2 linked regions of the Caenorhabditis elegans genome follow. The protein of the gene in region 2 purifies or fractionates together with the protein of the main gene of each other region. This does not show direct contact. Each region holds a gene or a part of one and is shown on either strand. Other genes may lie near its edges.

Region 1 (8,071 bases), on a different chromosome or scaffold from region 2:
TAAAATAATGAGCTAAAAATTAAAATTATCAAAAAGTTTTATTCGTTGAAAATCTACCAAAAAGTATAATTCTTCGTGGCAAGACCTAAAAAAAATTTTTTTTTCAAAAAATTCCAATTTTTCAGGAAGTCAAAAGATGCGTCTCAATGGGTATAAAAGGATTTGAAGTTGGTTCCCACGTGGCAGAAAAATCGTTGGATCATCGTGATTTTTGGCCGCTTTATAAGGTTAGTCGACAGCAAAAAAAAAGTACGAAAATCAAAAATTCTGCGTCGCCGCCTCCGGGAAAAATGCGCGGTTTGTAGGGCAAGAAGGGGCGGAGCCTATCATTTATTCATCGTTTGACGCACATTTTATATACCCGCCGCTGAGCTTTTTTACCCGGGGATATAGTTTGGAAAATTAGAAATTTAGAGGGGGAAAAATGGGAAATTGTGGAAATTGTTTTTCTCAATTTTGAGATTTTTGAATTTTAAATAAAAAAATTGAATTCAGCTCACCGAGAGCTTCAAATTAAGTACCATCATGCCTGGGTTCTGTGAATTTTTCGAAAATTGGGGTCTCACAACGAAAACTCCAGGGGTACTGTACCTACAATATAAAATTAAGTTTTCACATTTTTTATGATTTTTTATGATGCACTGAAATTTTTCTAAATTTTATGACTAAATTGAGATCCAAGCCGCTAAAACTGACAGAGTTATTGAATTTCGAAAAATTGCGAATAATTTTTTTTTCAAAACTACAGTATTTTTCTTTCTTTCTGTGCATATCGTGGCGAGACCCACAAATCTATCTTGTTTGAATTCAGCTCACCGAGAGCTTCAATTTGAGTACCATCATGCCTAGGTTCTATAGATTTTTGAAATTTTTGGGTCTCGCCACGAAATCAATCCGGTTACTGTACCTGCAGAAGCTGACCTAGATTTGACATTTTTACAGTGTTAAAACACAGATTCTGTATGACTTCCTACAAAATTTGTTTGGAAATCTCTAAAACTCACAAAGTTATCGATTTTCGAAAATTTTCGAATTATTTTTATCTCAAAAAATTTCAAAGCTACAGTAATTCTGTGAATTTTGTGGCGAAACCCACAAAACTATGTTTTCTGAATTCAGCTCGCCGAGTCAGCTCGCTAAGTACCATCATGCCTGGGTTCCGTGAATTTTTCGAAAATCGGGGTCTCACCACGAAAAACCCCGGGGTACTGTACCTACAGTAGCCAACTGGAGTATAACATTTTTAAGATACAGAAATATAATTTTCCTACATTGTAAAACAAAATTTGTTTGGAAATCTCTAAAATTGGCAAAGTTATCGATTTTCGAAAATTTTCGAATTAATTTTTTTTAAATTGAAACTACAGTGGCATAGCGAATTCCGTTGCGAGACCCACAAAAATATGTTGTATGAAATCAGCTCACTGAGAGCTTCAATTTAAGTACCATCATGCCTGGGTTCCGTGAATTTTTCGAAAATCGGGGTCTCGCCACGAAAAACCCCAGGAGTACTGTACCTACAGTAGCCAGCTGGAGCATAACATTTTTAAGATACAGAAATATAATTTTCCTACATTGTAAAACAAAATTCATTCAAAAATCTTAAAAACTGACGGAGTTATAGATTTTCGAAAATTTTCGAATTTCTCAAAAATTCAAAGCTACAGTAATTTTGTGAATTTCGTGGCGAGACCCTCAAAACTTAGATAAATGAATTCAGCTCATCGAGAGCTTTAATTTAAGTACCACCATGCCTAGGTTACGTCGAATTTTAATTTTCTGGGTCTCGCCACGCGGGGTACTGTAGCTCTAGTTTCAGCTGTGTCGAAGCTAGAAAATTCAAAATCGCCTGATTATAGTCATGATGGGTGTCATTTGAAAGCTCTCGGCGAGACGAATCCAGCTAAAATATTTTCAAATCAAAAAAAATCAAAAATCTAGTTTTCAGATTTGCGAGGAGCTCTCGGTGGTGCTCTTTGTGCATCCTTGGGATATGCACATGTGGGACGGGCGGCTGGACAAATACTGGATGCCATGGCTCGTCGGAATGCCATCTGAAACTGCTCAAGCCATTTGCTCAGTGCTCATGGGCAACATTTTGGTGCTCTTCCCCAAGTTGAAGCTCTGCTTTGCACATGGGGGCGGCGCCTACCCACAGATTCGTGGCCGAGTTTCTCACGGATGGAATGTTAGGCCAGACTTGTGTGCTGGAAAGTGTAAAGTTGCTCCGAATAAGCTCGATGGGCTACTGTGGACGGATAGCTTGGTTCATGACCCAAAAGCTCTCGAACTGCTGATAAATACCGTTGGAAAGGTGTGCAATTTTGATTTTAGAGAGTTCTAGATAGAAAATTCGAATTCCCCGCGTCGTCAGCTTTCAAATGACGCCCATCATGACTATGCTACGTTCATTTTGAATTTTCCTGTTTCGACACAGCTGAAACTGGTGCTACAGTACCCCGCGTGGCGACACCCAAAATTCACAAAATTTCGAAAACCTAGGCAAGATGGGTGTCAAATGAAAGGTGTTAATGTGCTGAATTCAAAAATTCAAATTTTTTGGGTCCTGCCACGAATTTGCAGAAGCTGAGGCAAGTTTTCGTGGCGAGACCCAAGAAATATTGCGAAATCTGTCAAACTTGACGAAAACTAGTTGATATGGGGCTTATTTTGAAGCTCTTGACTTGCTCAATTCAAATTTTAACTTGAAATCAAGAAATTTGTGGTCTCGAAGCGACAATTTTCGAAAAAAACTTGACATTCGCGAGAAATCCGTCAATTTTCATCATTTTTTCTCAATTTTTCAGGAGCATATAGTGCTTGGCACCGACTACCCATTTCCGCTTGGCGAGCTTGAAGTTGGAAGAGTTGTGGAAGAGTATAAGCCATTTTCTGCCAAGGACAGGGAGGATTTGCTGTGGAAAAACGCTGTAAAAATGCTGGATATCGATGAAAACTTGCTTTTTAATAAGGATTTTTGATCATTTTTTGGTTTTTATTGATTTTTATTGGGACATGTTGGGTTTTTATTGGTTTTTAATAAAGAATTTAGACTTTTTGTTCGAAAAACGATGTTTTCACATTCAAATACCCGCCGAAAACGAGAAATGCGCAAGAGTGGGGTTGCTGGCGCAATACTCGATTTTGCTGACGCGTTTCTCGTCTTTTTGAAAATACATTTTATTTCATCGATTTTCGCCGGATTTTCGCCGGTTTTTCTTGATTTTTCTTGATTTTTTGCCATTTTTCAGTCAAATTTCATCGTTTTTCTCGATTTTCTTGCCAATTTCCAGCATTTTCAGTGAAAAAATAGCGGAAAAATGGAGGAAGAGCTCGCCTCTTACAAACTTCAGCTCCAGCAGGTCGAGGCGGCTTTGCTCGGCGATCCGACGAATGTGGAGCTTCTCAAGTTGAAGGAAGACCTCGGGGAGATTATTTCGCTGCAGGTAGTGTGAAAAAAAGCGGAGAAAATGCAAAATTTTCGAAAAAAAATCAATAAAAACTGATTTTTTTCCAATTTTCAGGAAGATTTGGCGGAAACCGACAAGGCAGAATCATCAGAGAGGGCTGTGGTGGCTCCGCAAGTGATTCACAAGTGGACGGTACGGATTTTCAGCGAAAAAACCCCGATTTTCGCCAATTTTTCAGCTAAAAATCGATTTTTCAGGTCGGCGAACGAGTTATCGCCCCACATCCCGACGGAAAAAAGGTTTTCGCCAGAATCGACTCACTTACGCCCGCCGGAGTGGCTATTACCTTCACATGTAGGGGGATTTTATCGATTTTTAGCCCAAAAATCGTGAATTTTCACCAAAAATTCGTATTTTTTCAGCTACCGGCACGAAAACCATCGTAGATCCCGCTGATCTCCAACTCCCGCCCGAAAATCAGCGAAAAAATTATGCATTTGATAACACAAAGTCGGCGGCCGGACCATCGACTCAACACGGCAAAAAGGTTGGAAAAAATGGAAAAAATTCCTTGTTCTTCTGTAAAAAACCAGAAAAACCCCGTTTTTGCAATATTTTTGAGCTAAAAATCGCAAAAATCACCAAAAATTGACACTTTTTCAGCTTTTATCGACTATTTTCTGCAGGAATTTCTAGAAATTGACGTTTTTCCGGATAAAACGGCTTTTTTCGTGAAATTTTCATCGATTTTTTGGACTTTCCGGGGTACTGTAGCTCCAAAAGTACGCAAACACCACAAGTCTTACGGCAAAATGCAGAAATCTTGATTTTTCACATTTAAAGTGATTTTTCTCAAATTTTCAGTTGGAAATCGAGTTTCTCACTCATTTTTACCCCTGGAAATCGGTTTTTTGCACAAAATAGATTGGTGGCCTAACTTTTGGGATTTCTAGGCCACCAATCTGAAAATGATGGTTTTAAGCCATTTTCATCGATTTTTTTTGGATTTTTATGTCAAATATAGACGATAAAAACGATTTTAAACTGAAAATCGCAAAATTTCTAGTTTAAATCTCTAGAAAATCCCAAAAATCGATATTTCCGTGACTCATGTGCTTCTACTCGGATTGATGGCATAAAAACTGTTTTTATTTACATTTTCAGTCTTAAATTGGCTGAAAATGTAGGTAAATACCGTATTTCTGCCAACAATTTGACAATAAAGCACATTTGTCACTCGGAGATGCGGAAGCTATGCCCAAATTTTTAATTTTACCGAAAAACTCGTAATTTTCACAGATATTCAGCCCAAATATCGACTTTTCCATCACTTTTTACCCCCGTAGCCCGTTTTTCAGCCAATTTATGCAAATTTTCGTAAAATTCGGTGCCTAGGCGGTGTTTGCGTACTTTGGCGCTACCGTAACCCTCGAAATTCAAATTTTGAGCTATAGGCCCTGACAAAGGTCCATTTGGGGTAAAATTAAGCGGAGAATTTGAATTTTAGCATGAAAATTGCTGGAAATTGCTGAAAAATTCAAAAAAAAAATCAAATTTTTTCAAATTTCCAGGAATGGCAAGCAGAAAAGGAGCGCCGACGTCAAAAAGCGCTCAAAAAACAGCAAAAACAGAAGGAGCTCGACTCGATAAAGGATGGCGAGAAGAAAAGTTGGCAAAAATTCAACACAAAAGCCAACGCGAAAGGTCTGAAGGGCCTGAAGAAGGTTTCGGCGACAGGATCAAGCCAGGATGGCTCGGCGAGCAGCAGCGGCGGCGGCGGAGAGAAGCGAGGAACGATCGTCTCGTCGAGAAGCTCTCAGTTCATTTTTAAAGCCACCCGTGGAGCTATGGATTCACTTTTTTGAGCTCTCTTGTATATCCGATTTTACTGTACTTTTTTTGTGTTCTTGATATAATAAAAACTCGATTTTTTCCCGGAAATTGTGAAAAAATGCCAAAAAACACTTTTTTTCGGACATGGTGGATCGTTTCAGGTGTCGGGGGATATGGTCGGGTACTGTAGGAGTACGGTAGGATTACTGTAGTTTGGGAAAAGTTGGCTTTTTTGTCTTTTGAACGGACATTGGTTTAGGGTTAGTGGGGGGATATGGTCGGCGTACTGTAGGGGTACTGTAGTAGTACTGTAGGAGTACTGTAGGGGTACTGTAGTAGTGCTGTAGAGGTACTGTAGTAGTACTGTAGTTAGGGATAACTTGACTTTTTGTCATTTGAGGGGATATGGTCGGGGTACTGTAGGGGTACTGTAGGATTACTGTAGTTTGGGAAAATTGACTTTTCGTCTTTTGAAGGGATATTGGTTTGAGGTTAGTGGGGGGATATGGCCGGGGTACTGTAGGGGTACTGTAGGAATACTGTAGTTTTGGAAAAAAGTGTTTTCGTCTTTCGAGGGGATATGGTCGGGGTACTGTAGTAGTACTGTAGTGGTACTGTAGTTTGGGAAAAATTGACTTTTCAAGGGATATTGGTTTGGGGTTAGTGGGGGGATAAGGTCGGGGTAATGTAGGATTACTGTAGTTTTTGAAAAAACTGACTTTTTGTCATTTGAGGGATATTGGTTTGGGGTTAGTCGAGGGATATGGTCGGGGTACTGTAGTAGTACTGTAGGGGTACTGTAGGAGTACTGTAGGGGTACTGTAGTAGTGCTGTAGTAGTACTGTAGGGGTTCTGTAGGGGTACTGTAGTTTTGGAAAAGGTAGGATAACTGTGGTTTGAGAAAAATTGACTTTTTCGACTTTTGAACGGATATTGGTTCAGGGTTAGTGGGGGGGATATGGTCGGGGTGCTGTAGGAGTACTGTAGGATTACTGTAGTTTAGGTGCATTGAAGAAAGGTCTCGAAAGGTTTTTTTTTTCAAATTTCCGAAAATTTTGGAAAATTTTGAAAAAAAAAACATCAATGTTTAAGGAAAAATAATTTTTGAATTTTGAAAACTGTTAAAATTTGAGCGTAGGTGCAAATTTTGAGCTTCAATGCACCATGACCGCGCCAAAACCCGGCGGTGGCCTAGTTTTTGCAGTTCGGCCACCGCGGGGGTGGACCAAAGGAAAATTTTTTGCGAGTTAAAAATCAGAAAAAAAAATCAATAGTAGTACTGTAGGGGTACGCTAGGAGTACTGTAGGAATACGGTAAGATTACTTTAGTTTTGGAAAAATTGTCTTTTCGTCTTTTGAAGGGATATTGGTTTGGGGTTAGTGGAGGGATATGGTCGGGGTACTGTAGGGGTACGGTAGGATTACTGTAGTTTTGGAAAAATTGTCTTTTCGTCTTTTGAAGGGACATTGGTTTGGGGTTAGTGGAGGGATATGGTCGGGGTACTGTAGGGGTACGGTAGGATTACTGTAGTTTTGGAAAAATTAATCCTTGAATTTTAACACTTTTGAAAAAATTCCAAAAAATAAACATTTTAACGCGCTTTTTAGCCGTGAAATATTTAAATTCGCGCCAAAAATGCCTGTTGTGATTGACAATTTTCCAGTTTCTTTCCAGGAAAACTCGGCTTTCTGATCATGGTGCATCGATCAGACTGTCTCCAGCAGCGCCTGAAGAGGTGAAAACTAGCCGAAAAGTGAAGATGGGAGGCTAATTTCTAATCGGTGCGCGCCTTTTACTCGTGCGTTTTTCTTATTATTCTATTATTATTTCACTAGTTTTTCCATTCGCCCGCCGTGTGTACATATTAGCCGCCGCCGGCTAGCTAGCGGATACGTAATACCGTTCCACTTTTTTTCGTTTAAAATATAATATATTTGCCAAAGTTTGGAAAAGGTTTGAAAATTCGAATTTCGCGCCAAAAAAATGTATCTCAAAAATTTGAAGTTGCCGCCGAATTTGATAGATTTTTAGCTAAAAATGAAGTTTTCCGGCATATTTCCGTTCAAATTTTTCACTGGAAATTCAAATTTTGTAATAGCACATGTTTCACCATTTGTTGCACCGCCACGGTGGCCGAGCTGCAAAAACTAGGCCACCGCCGGGATTTGGCGCGGCCATGGTGCATCAAGGGTCAAAACTTGCACCTAATTTTTAATTTTAACGAAAACACAGAACCCCTACAGTACTACTACAGTACCCCGACCATATCCCCCAACTAACCCCAAACCAATATCCCTTCAAAAGTCAATTTTTCCAAAACTACAGTACTCCTACAGAACCCCTACAGTACTACTACAGCACTACTACAGTACCCCTACAGTACTCCTACAGTACCCCTACAGTACTACTACAGTACCCCGACCATATCCCCCGACTAACCCCAAACCAATATTCCTTCAAAAGTCAATTTTTCCCAAACTACAGCATTCCTACAGTACCCCTACAGTACCCCGGCCAAATCCCTCCACTAACCTCAAACCAATATCCCTTCAAAAGACGAAAAGGCAATTTTCCCAAACTATGCATCAAGATGCCACCATGTTCGCAAAACTGGCATTTTTTTTCACAAATTTGGTGTAATTTTCAGAAAATACCGAATTTTTTCTGTTGGAATTTTTTAAAAACTAATGTTTTTCGTCAAAAAAAGTGATATACCCCCTTTTTCCACAAACACAGCTTCACCCTCCCCACATCACATGAAAATTCCTCGAAAATTGGCGGGTCACAAATCCTTTCCCCCAATCATCAATTCGTGACTCGTTATGCA
Region 2 (9,806 bases):
CACACAGCATGTTTCTTGCCTTAAATTAAAGTTTTTTAATTCATCATAGTTTTTCTCCCGCTTCATAAAATTCTATTGAAGCTGAACTGAAATGTGTAAACAAATAATAAATGAATGCATTCAGTAAGAAAACTCAATATCGAAAACCTACCAAAACATTTATATCTATAGTCTTTAGTAATGGCTAGCAAATAATAACAAAACAATACAATTTTAAGTTCATAAGAAATACGGTATATCGCTGGTAATGAGACTTACCGTTACATTCTCTTTAAACTCGGATAGCTTTTGTTTTACATCCATTAACGGTGGAGCTCTAATAATTGCTTTGAAAAATAATAGATCAACGTCGTCCATTACCGTTTGAGTTTGTAATAGTTGTAAAGCATCAATATTTCGCATGCAGTCAACAATTTCTTGGCTGTTTTCAGATGTGCACTGAAATGAAGAATTACACCAAACGTATCAAGGAGATTATAAGTTTGTCCGAATTTCAATTTTAAAAGTTTGAAGTGACATTTGAAAGTTCATTATTCCGTTTCACAAACTCTCGGTGCTGACAAAAAAACTGAATAATTTGATATGGTTTATATCAGCGAATTATACAATGCCTTCACGAAAAAAAAGTCTGCCGGCACGACCACTCATTATCAGATAATTTCCACCAGTACAATTTTTGTTTGGGGTACCGACTGGTGCATTGTTGCCTCCGGCTGTATTTTCTTAAAGTTTTTAGTCACTACTTCTCAAACGTTTTGTGTAGTATTGGTTCAAAAAATAACTCCAACTATATTTTTAGGTTATTTGAGAGAGAGAGAGAGACCTTTGGTTTCAATTCACTAATGTAGTGAACTATAACCAGGTTTCAAAGAAATATAGTTTTATCTTATAAGAACCAACATACATTATGCCTTCGTGCAATTTCATATGAATTTCCGATTTGGAGATCTTCAAATCCATACATTCCAATTGAGCTCAGCACTATAAACTGTTGAAATAACTTTTTTTCTGGGTCTATTTGATTTGAGAACCCCATTGCATTCACCAGCTGTCCTCCTGATGAATGGCCCATAAGAGTGACGTAATTGGGGTCACCTCCAAAACTAGCAATATTGTCGTGTACAAAGTTTAACGATCTGATGCAATCTTAAAAAATCTTTTTTAGACATCACGACTTCCTGTATATTATTACCGTGTATTAATAAATTTGCTGGTACTATTCCCTGTTCACCCAAATAAAATTGCCCAAAAACTCCCAAGCGATAAGCGGGTATCGCAAAAACAATTCCGCTATCTACGTATCTTTCCAATATGAATTTATCGGGAAACATTGTTGCCGAGTCTAAATTGAATGATCCTCCATGATAATAAACTAATACTGGACATTTGTGAGCCTGTAAAAACCCCGACGTTGAACTGGCTGTCATTTGAAGCAGTTCTTATCACCAGGCAGTACTCGCTTGTAAAAATATTGATGTATAGACAGTCTTCGCTGATGTTTTCTTGTTGCGCAGAAGCTAGACTCGAGTTACTCAAACATGCGGCGCTGAAATTTAGTTCAGATAAATGAAAGTTAAATAAATTCTTCGAATTTTAAAAACACCTGTATTTCGAACCATCCAAAACACCATTCCATGTGTTTGGCTCTTCAGGAAGGGCAAATCTTAATAATCCTAAAGGAGGTTTAGCAAATGGAATGCCCTGAAAACATTTTAGAATCAATGTTTTTTTAAAATTCTGTTCAAGCTCATTTTCGAATATCATATGCATCTTGAAACTTACCTTGAATATATATTTATGATTCCTCTTATCACTAAAATCAGTGATTCCTCGAACTTTTCCATAATTTGTGTTCAAAACTTTAAAGCTTTTCACACTCAATGCCAACAGAGCAAGTGTATAGAAAAATATTTTCATTTTTTTAAACTGAATAGCACTGACAAGTTGAAGATGAGTTGATAAAAATGTGCGCATTGATAAGTTTTATTTGTCTGATTTGTCTGGGTTTGGTAAAAGCTGTGTTTTAATCGATTGACTCTATTCGTCTAGACACAAAAACTTTATTTCAATGTTCAAACCGTTATCTAACTCAATAAAGGAAGTTCCTCTTCTCTCTTTGGTTTTCGGAGACAAATAACAATCAACACAACTAATAATATCATCAAAAATATAATTAAATAAAACCACCATTGTTTCAAAATTGAAGAGCCATTTTTTAGTAATGAAGATTGTGCTGAAGCTGTAGTAGTTACGGTGTTACTATTGTTATCCTGATGGATTGATGTAAATCCCTTAGTAGTTTTTGTAAGGATTTCAGGTTTATTAGTCGTTTCCCAGTACTTAAGTTGCGTCTCTATGTCAAGATGTTCCGGAGGCAAACCTTGTGATTGTCTCTGAAACCAAATTTATTTTAAAGGCTTTGAAATGGCCAATCATTATTTTTGAACTGCTTGTTTTAAAATAACATAAGCTTTTCACACATCGCGAGATTATCACGGCTGAACATATTTTCAAATAATATGCAGAATTAGCTGAAAACTTGCCGATTTATTCCAGCACGCAAATTCCAAAAACATGGACGTACCGAATTTGCCGACCTCGGAAAGGTATGAAATTGGTCACACATGCTACAATTTCGAAACAAGTGAAACAAAAATAATATATTTTTTTCAAAAAGTCAAATACAAAAAGTCAAATACAATAACAGTGTTCGTTTCATATTTTTTAAATCAAGAATTCTACATGCACATTAAACAAAACTTAGCCGTATACACTTTGCAATTTCCTGTGTTAAAACGAATTTCAAAAAATTTGCGATTTGACGTGCCGAAAAATATGAAAAAAAATATACATATTTGCCAAGTTTTCCGATATCGAGAAATTTACACATCTGATTTTTAGCACTTTTAGAAGTTTTCAACGCAAATTTGACTTCAAAAAAAATTAAAATTCTCACTATTTTTGTAACATTTCTGTCAAATTCCATCATTTCTCCAAACCACAGTTCCATTTCTTTTTCGTGAAAACCTTCAAGCATAACTGGTCCTTCTTTCATGTCAGAATCTACCTTTAGCTCTAGATAGTTCATTCTTTCGGGGTCAAGTGGTGCCCATTCTGCAAATTTGGGTTTTATTTAAACAAAGACATCTATAAATAATTTTGTAGTCACCTGGAGATGGCACTCCCATTTTTGTAAAATTCACGAGCAGTTTAGAATAAAAAGTATCCAAAATATCCATGTCAGGTCTATGATAAATTTCTCGATGAATCCCAACAAAATATTGCATATCAGATACATGGAAACTATACGGTTTTTGTCGGGTTTCAAAAAGATACACATCAGCTCCAGTATTTGCCATTGCAGTCGAAAATGTTGAAGCACATATGAAAATTGCAGCTGCATCTCCATTTATCATAGTTTCCACTAAATACGTTTAGTATAAAAGTTTCACGTGTGAAGATTTTACTTACAATTTGCCATGAGCTGTTCGTCGTAGTATCTCGCAACTGCAACTGGGTTGTCAAAATCTAAAAAGATTCCAGAAATGTAGGGATTCATGTGGTCAACATTGCGAAATTCATGCTCTGTCGTTCCATATAGTAGGTTTCGTGACTGAAATTTAACCAATTGGAAAGAAAGTAAAAAAAATAAATCCCAGAGACCAACTCAAGGTTGCATATTGTAGTGATTTAAAATAGAATCGTAAACGGTACTAAGACCAAATTAAGGTAAATTAAGTTAACAAAAGATTAATCGGTTTTCTTTTTTGACAAAAATTTTTGCATATTTTTAGATTTACCGGCGGGGATTTTTTGAGGTCTGCAATTTTCCCATTCGACTCCAAAAATGGGGCACCTCTCAGAACGCTTCTAAAATCTCGATCATCCACTTCTTCCATATGCCGCTGCATAAGTAACATTTCGCGTCCATCAATTTGTCTCATGCAATCCAGCATTTCTGCAATATTTGCATTTGGGCGGTCGTCCTTTGTTCCATTGTAACACTGAAATACGAATGAATTAGATGGAATTATGGATCAACGTTAATCACCCCAAACTTCTCAACAATGGCGAACGAATTATCAACCACCATGTCATAAAATCCAAACATTCCTGTAGCACTCAACACTATCATCTGTTGAAATAGTTTGACACCTGGATCGATGAGTCTGTAAAAATAATTCATTATAACAACGTGATATTTCGAAAAAGCGTTAAACTTTGAAAATCCCAATGCATCCACAATAGTGCCGCCAGATGAGTGTCCCATTGCAGTTACACGTTTCGAATCGCCGCCAAAATAGTTTATCTCACTGTGAACAAAACTTAATGCTTGAACAGCGTCTGAATATGTAAAAATTAAATGTGTTGTCGTTGTTTTTTTAAATAATGTTTTTAACTCAGAAAAATTATTCTACAACTGGTTGATCTGATGCCCGCTTTTCTTTTTCAAGATTCCAGGCGTTTTTCAAACATATGTGTATAGGGCTGTGCAACCGGACGTCCGGTCGTCAGAACCGGACGATCATCGTCCGGTTTTAGAAAAAAAAACCAGTTTTTAGAACTTTGAAAATTTTCCGAGAGGTATGTTTTCACGGCGGCCGACAATTTCCGAGTTTGGCCACTCATTATAAAATTCTATGATGAAGTATAGCGAGTGGCCAATCTCGGAAATTGTGAAAACATACTTCTCGGAAAAATTTCAAAGTTCTAAAAACGGGTTTTTTTTTCTAAAACCGGACGATGATCGTCCGGTTCGGACGGCCGGACGTCCGGTTGCACAGCCCTACATATGTATAAGTTTTAAGCATGACGTGGTAACGGTTTTTCGTTTAAAATTTAAATTCTTCAGTTTAAATAGTCTTTATGCTTACCATACAGGAATAAATTCTCAGAAAGAAGGTCACTCGGACCAAAATACAACTGTCCAAACACTCCTAACCGAACGGCTGGAATTACGAAAACCACGTCTTCCGCAGCATATCTATCCAAAATAAATGTATCATTGAACATTATTGCTGAGTCTAAATTGTATGCACCACCATGAAAGTACACGATTACAGGACACTTGGAATTCTGAAATTAGAATATCGATAAAACTATTCGGATTCAATGGAGGTTTACCAAACATTTTTCACTGGTGAAAATATTTATGTAGAGGCAATCTTCGCTGTAGTGTTTTTGCGGTGTGCTGGTTGAAGAAGAATTGCTCATGCATGCTGGACTGAAAAACCACAAATAATTGTTTCAACTCAAAAATAAGAAGCCATATTGTTTTGGGTAAAAACTGCGTGCTCAATTTTAAAGCTTTACCCCCTAGAGAATTTTGTAGTTTCCGATGTTATACAGATCAATTGCTTCAGATGACCTTTATTTTTTTAATTTCTCGAACTCTGAAAAACTATGACTACCTATATTTCGATGCATCCAGAATACCGCTCCACGATTCCGGATTCTGAGGCTTCGCAAACCTCAAATTACCTACTGGCGGCTTTGCGAATGGAACACTCTAAAATATTCTCCATTTGTAGGATACACTTTGAATCACCCAACTCACTTTAAACATATATCGATGATTTTTGTCATTGGACCATACAGTAATTCCACGTAATTTTCCATAACTAGTTTGGATAACTTTCAAACTTTGAAATTGAGGAATAAACAAAATCAATAAAAACAAATGTATAAACATTGTCCTCGACAAAAATGTCAACAACTAAATGATAAACTTATTGGGGTTTGCACTTCTGATAAAATGCCTTTTGTCTTGCAGAAATTGATAGTGCTGTAATTGTGACCATTTGAATATAAAACAAGAAGTATTGATTATAGCCAAACGAGTATTGAATTTTATAAAATTTTTTATTACAATCAAAACGTTGAAAAGTTTCACTCTGTTGTGAAACAATATTCAAAAATAAATAAATAATAAAAAATAGTTATATTCACCGTACGTTCAAGAAATTAACTTTAATTTTCTAACTCAATAAAGGAACTTCTTCTTCTCGTCTTGGTTTCCGAAGGGAAATAAAAATCAATACAAAAATCATAACAACTAAAGCTATAATCAAGTAGAACCACCATTGTTGAAGAATTGGTGTACTATTTTTGAATTCTCGCGATATGTATTGAGCTGTGGAGGTGAATAGGACATTGGTGCTTGTAGAAATGTTTTCTTGAGTCGCATTGTTTGCGTGTGCAGTAGTTCTTGGTTCAACTATGGAGCTCCAGTATTTCAACTGTGATTCTACACCTTGGTTTTCACGTGGTAACCCTTTAGATTGTCTCTGAAAAATAATTGTTACAAAATCTAAGTAATGAAAAAATTTAATAACCAGTTCACTACTTTTTTTAGCTCGAAAAGTTTTAATTAAAAAATTTTTAAGAACAGTTTATAAACAAAGCTTGATGATTTCTAAATTGTTTTTCTTTTAGTATTTATGTAAGTGCAAGTCATGGAACTTAAATTAATTTTTCTAAATTTCGAATTATATTCATAGTTACTTTACTTGAGTTTGTCATTAATGAACGAAACATGATTTTTATTGAATTTTACCATTTTCGTGATGTTCCTGTCATAGTCCATCATATCTCCGTACCAGAAAGAAACTTCTTTATCGTGATAGCCTTCAAGCATTACTGGACCTTTGCCATTTCTGGTATCAACTCTCAATTCCAAATAGTTCATCTTTTCTGGTTCCAGGGAGTTCCATTCTATAATAATTTTATGTAATTGAAAAATGTACACCTACAAGAAAATTACCAGGAGATGGCGCTCCTGTTTTAGTGAAATTGACCAGCAGCTTCGAATAGAAACTATCCAAAATATCCATATCATGAGTGTGCAAAACTTCTCTATGAATGCCAATAAAGTATTGCATATCAGAAACGTGAAAACTGTAGGGCCATTGTCGGGTCTCGAAAAGGTAAACGTCTGCACCCGCATTAGCCATTGCTGAAGAAAAAGCTGCAGCTGATACGAATATTGATACGGCATCTCCATTGATCATGGTATCCACTGAACTTTTTCAAAAATTACGTGAACACATTCTAAATCTGGGCTTACTGTTCTGCATCAGCTCATCGTCAAAATGTTGAGCAACTGCTACTGGATTTTCAAAATCTAAAAATGTTGTTGTGATATAGAGATATCTCTCCACTTCGTTGCGAAACTCATATTCTGTCGTTCCAAAGATTGCATTTCTTGGCTGGAAACAAATTTTTATGACCTTGAAAATGTTTATAATTATCTTCCTAATTTTATTACTTGCTTATTCTGATTTTCAAGCTTACCGATGTTGAATTTCTGAACTTTTCAATTTTCCCATTCAATTCCATGAATGGTGCTCCTCTCAAAAGACTCTTAAAAGTCAACTTGTAAACATCTTCCATATGTTTTTGCATTCCTACTATTTCATGGCCATCAATTTGTCTCATGCATTCAAGAATTTCAGCAATATTTGCGTCGGTGCGCTCTTCCTGTGTGCCGTTGAAACACTGAAACGAAGTTCGATTTATTCAACAAAACATATTTCAGTTTGTTCACCCCTAATTTTTCAGAAATAATAAACGAGTTGTCAACCAGCAAGTCGTAAAATCCAAACATCCCTGTGCCACTTAAAACGATAATTTGCTGGAACAACTTCAAGTCTGGGTCAACAGAACTGAAAAATAAAATGTTTTCTGCAGCCAAGCAACTCAAAATTTGGTACTTTGAAAATCCCAAGGCTTCTACAAGTGTTCCGCCTGAAGAGTGTCCCATGATGGTCACTTGTTTTGGGTCACCACCAAAGTTTGGTATTTCGTTGTGAACAAAGTCAAGCGCTTGAACCGCGTCTGTAAACTTTAAATTATTGCTTCTTATATTTTCGCATTTTATTAAATCTTTCTATTAATATTTAAAAAAAAACAATTTTCCATCATGATTTAGAATAAAAACAAAATTGTGTTGTTTTCTCACCAAACATGAAAAGATTCTCAGTTAGAAGAGCACTTGGACCAAAATATAACTGTCCAAACACTCCTAATCGAACTCCAGGAATTGCTAAAATTACGTCTTCCGCAACGTATCTCTCCAATATGAAATTGTCCGGAAACATTGTAGCAGAGTCTCCATTGTATGCGCCACCATGAAAATAGACTATAACAGCACATTTAGACCTCTGAATTGGAATACAATAACATCAATTTTAAAGTTTCAGTTGAAAAATACCAAACATTTTTCGCTAGTGAAAATATTTATGTACAGACAATCTTCGCTGACGTGTTCTTGTGGAGTGCTAGTTGTCGATGAGTTGCTCAAGCACGCAGGACTGGAAAACAATAAATTTTAAATTCACCTTTGTTTGGAGCGAAATACATGTGAGAGTTTCTGTTTTTTTTTGTTTCTGGGTCATTGGTCCCAACATCATTAAACGGCCGAAACAGTTTTTTTTATTGAGGATGACAGTTATAAATTTGTGGCAAGTGATATATCTTTCTAGATTGAGTTTTTGAATGATTCAAAACATTGTATGAACCCTTATGATATGTTTTCTTAAATAGTTTCATAAGCTTGAATAAAATAGTTCGAATTTTATTGCATTGTGGTTTCTATTATATTTCTCATTTTCAATATTCTCAATGTTCATTACCTATACTTTGATGCATCGAGAACACCGCTCCATGAATCCGGATACTGTGGAGGTGCAAATCGCAACTTTCCTATTGGCGGCTTGGCAAACGGTACACTCTGAAAAACAAAGCAGTTTTCTTCCAAATGTTCTTCAATCTAACTCACTTTAAACATATACTTGTGATTATTGTCATCTGACCATTCCGTTATTCCACGTACTCTTCCATAACTTGTTTCTATTACTTTCAAACTTTGTATATCAGGAAACAACAAAATTAGTTTGAACAGTATAAACTTTTTTAAAGACATTTTCGTTTACAACAAATATAATAATGTTTTCATTGATGTTTGAAAAACTGATTGAAAGGCAGTGGTCTTGAAAGCACAATACTGACTGATAAAACGTATAGTGGTAGACAGAAAACACGCGGGTTATCTTTACTAACTCAAAAACATTAACATTTTGTCTAGTAATTGACGATATTAGAGTTATAAGTGTTTGAGATACGCCGATTCTGATTGATTTTCATGTAATTAAAAATTTTTCAAATTTACAATTTCAGCTGTGAACTTATAACACGGCACGTATATAGCTTTATTTACATATTGACAGTTGTTTTTAACTTAATAAAGGAGTGATCTCGCCATTTCTTGATTTTTTGAAAGATAATATGACTAAGCCAATAGTCATTGCACAAACTGCTATTATTAAATAAAACCACCACTGATAAAGAATCGAAATGTCAGTTCTAAATATAATGGCTTGATCTGTAGTGTTTATTATGAAGTGAGTGCTATCGACTAGTTTCTGTTGATTTTTCGCATCAAAATTCTGGTATACAATAAAGTTCCAATATTGTCGTTGTGATTTTGTATCTTGTCTTTCTGGTGGCAGTCCTTCGGAATGTCGCTAAAACGAAAAATTCTACAGGTACACTTGTAAATTGGTTGTTAGATAATCAGTATGCAACATTCTATACATAGGCTTTGAGTAAATAATTTAGCTCTTGCTTCAAGAAAATTTTTAACGTGACTATTTCATACCATTTTTGACACGTTTTGATCAAACTCTGTCATTTCTCCAACCCAAAAGGACACATCTTTGGCATGATAACCTTCAAGCATAACTGGGCCGCTCCTTGCTTTAGAATCAACTTTCAGCTCCAAATAATTCATTCTTCCAGGATCCACA

The links.
Region 1: the proteins of cest-9.1 (region 2) and smr-1 fractionate together in Caenorhabditis elegans (co-fractionation; one large-scale study listed by BioGRID). This does not show direct contact.

The regions. Positions count from the first base shown.
Region 1 is NC_003281.10:1,139,870-1,147,940, forward strand, and holds smr-1 (Tudor domain-containing protein), read left to right. Parts: upstream 1-3,302; 5' UTR 3,303-3,320; coding exon 3,321-3,446; intron 3,447-3,524; coding exon 3,525-3,602; intron 3,603-3,667; coding exon 3,668-3,764; intron 3,765-3,832; coding exon 3,833-3,957; intron 3,958-4,310; exon of another isoform or gene 4,311-4,399; intron 4,400-4,981; coding exon 4,982-5,275; 3' UTR 5,276-5,342; downstream 5,343-8,071. Other genes in the region: acsd-1 (2-amino-3-carboxymuconate-6-semialdehyde decarboxylase), read left to right, coding at 126-227, 496-582, 1,949-2,314, 2,808-2,981.
Region 2 is NC_003284.9:12,222,119-12,231,924, reverse strand, and holds cest-9.1 (Carboxylesterase type B domain-containing protein), read right to left. Parts: upstream 5,744-9,806; 5' UTR 5,693-5,743; coding exon 5,558-5,692; intron 5,510-5,557; coding exon 5,412-5,509; intron 5,225-5,411; coding exon 5,125-5,224; intron 5,077-5,124; coding exon 4,875-5,076; intron 4,345-4,874; coding exon 4,221-4,344; intron 4,170-4,220; coding exon 4,052-4,169; intron 4,005-4,051; coding exon 3,801-4,004; intron 3,614-3,800; coding exon 3,472-3,613; intron 3,425-3,471; coding exon 3,170-3,424; intron 3,115-3,169; coding exon 2,957-3,114; intron 2,394-2,956; coding exon 2,085-2,393; 3' UTR 1,975-2,084; downstream 1-1,974. Other genes in the region: cest-7 (Carboxylic ester hydrolase), read right to left, coding at 1-19, 259-438, 905-1,146, 1,193-1,394, 1,447-1,546, 1,604-1,701, 1,783-1,974; cest-9.2 (Carboxylic ester hydrolase), read right to left, coding at 5,979-6,287, 6,557-6,714, 6,764-7,018, 7,067-7,208, 7,294-7,497, 7,547-7,664, 7,713-7,836, 7,961-8,162 and 3 more; cest-8 (Carboxylic ester hydrolase), read right to left, coding at 9,234-9,524, 9,659-9,806.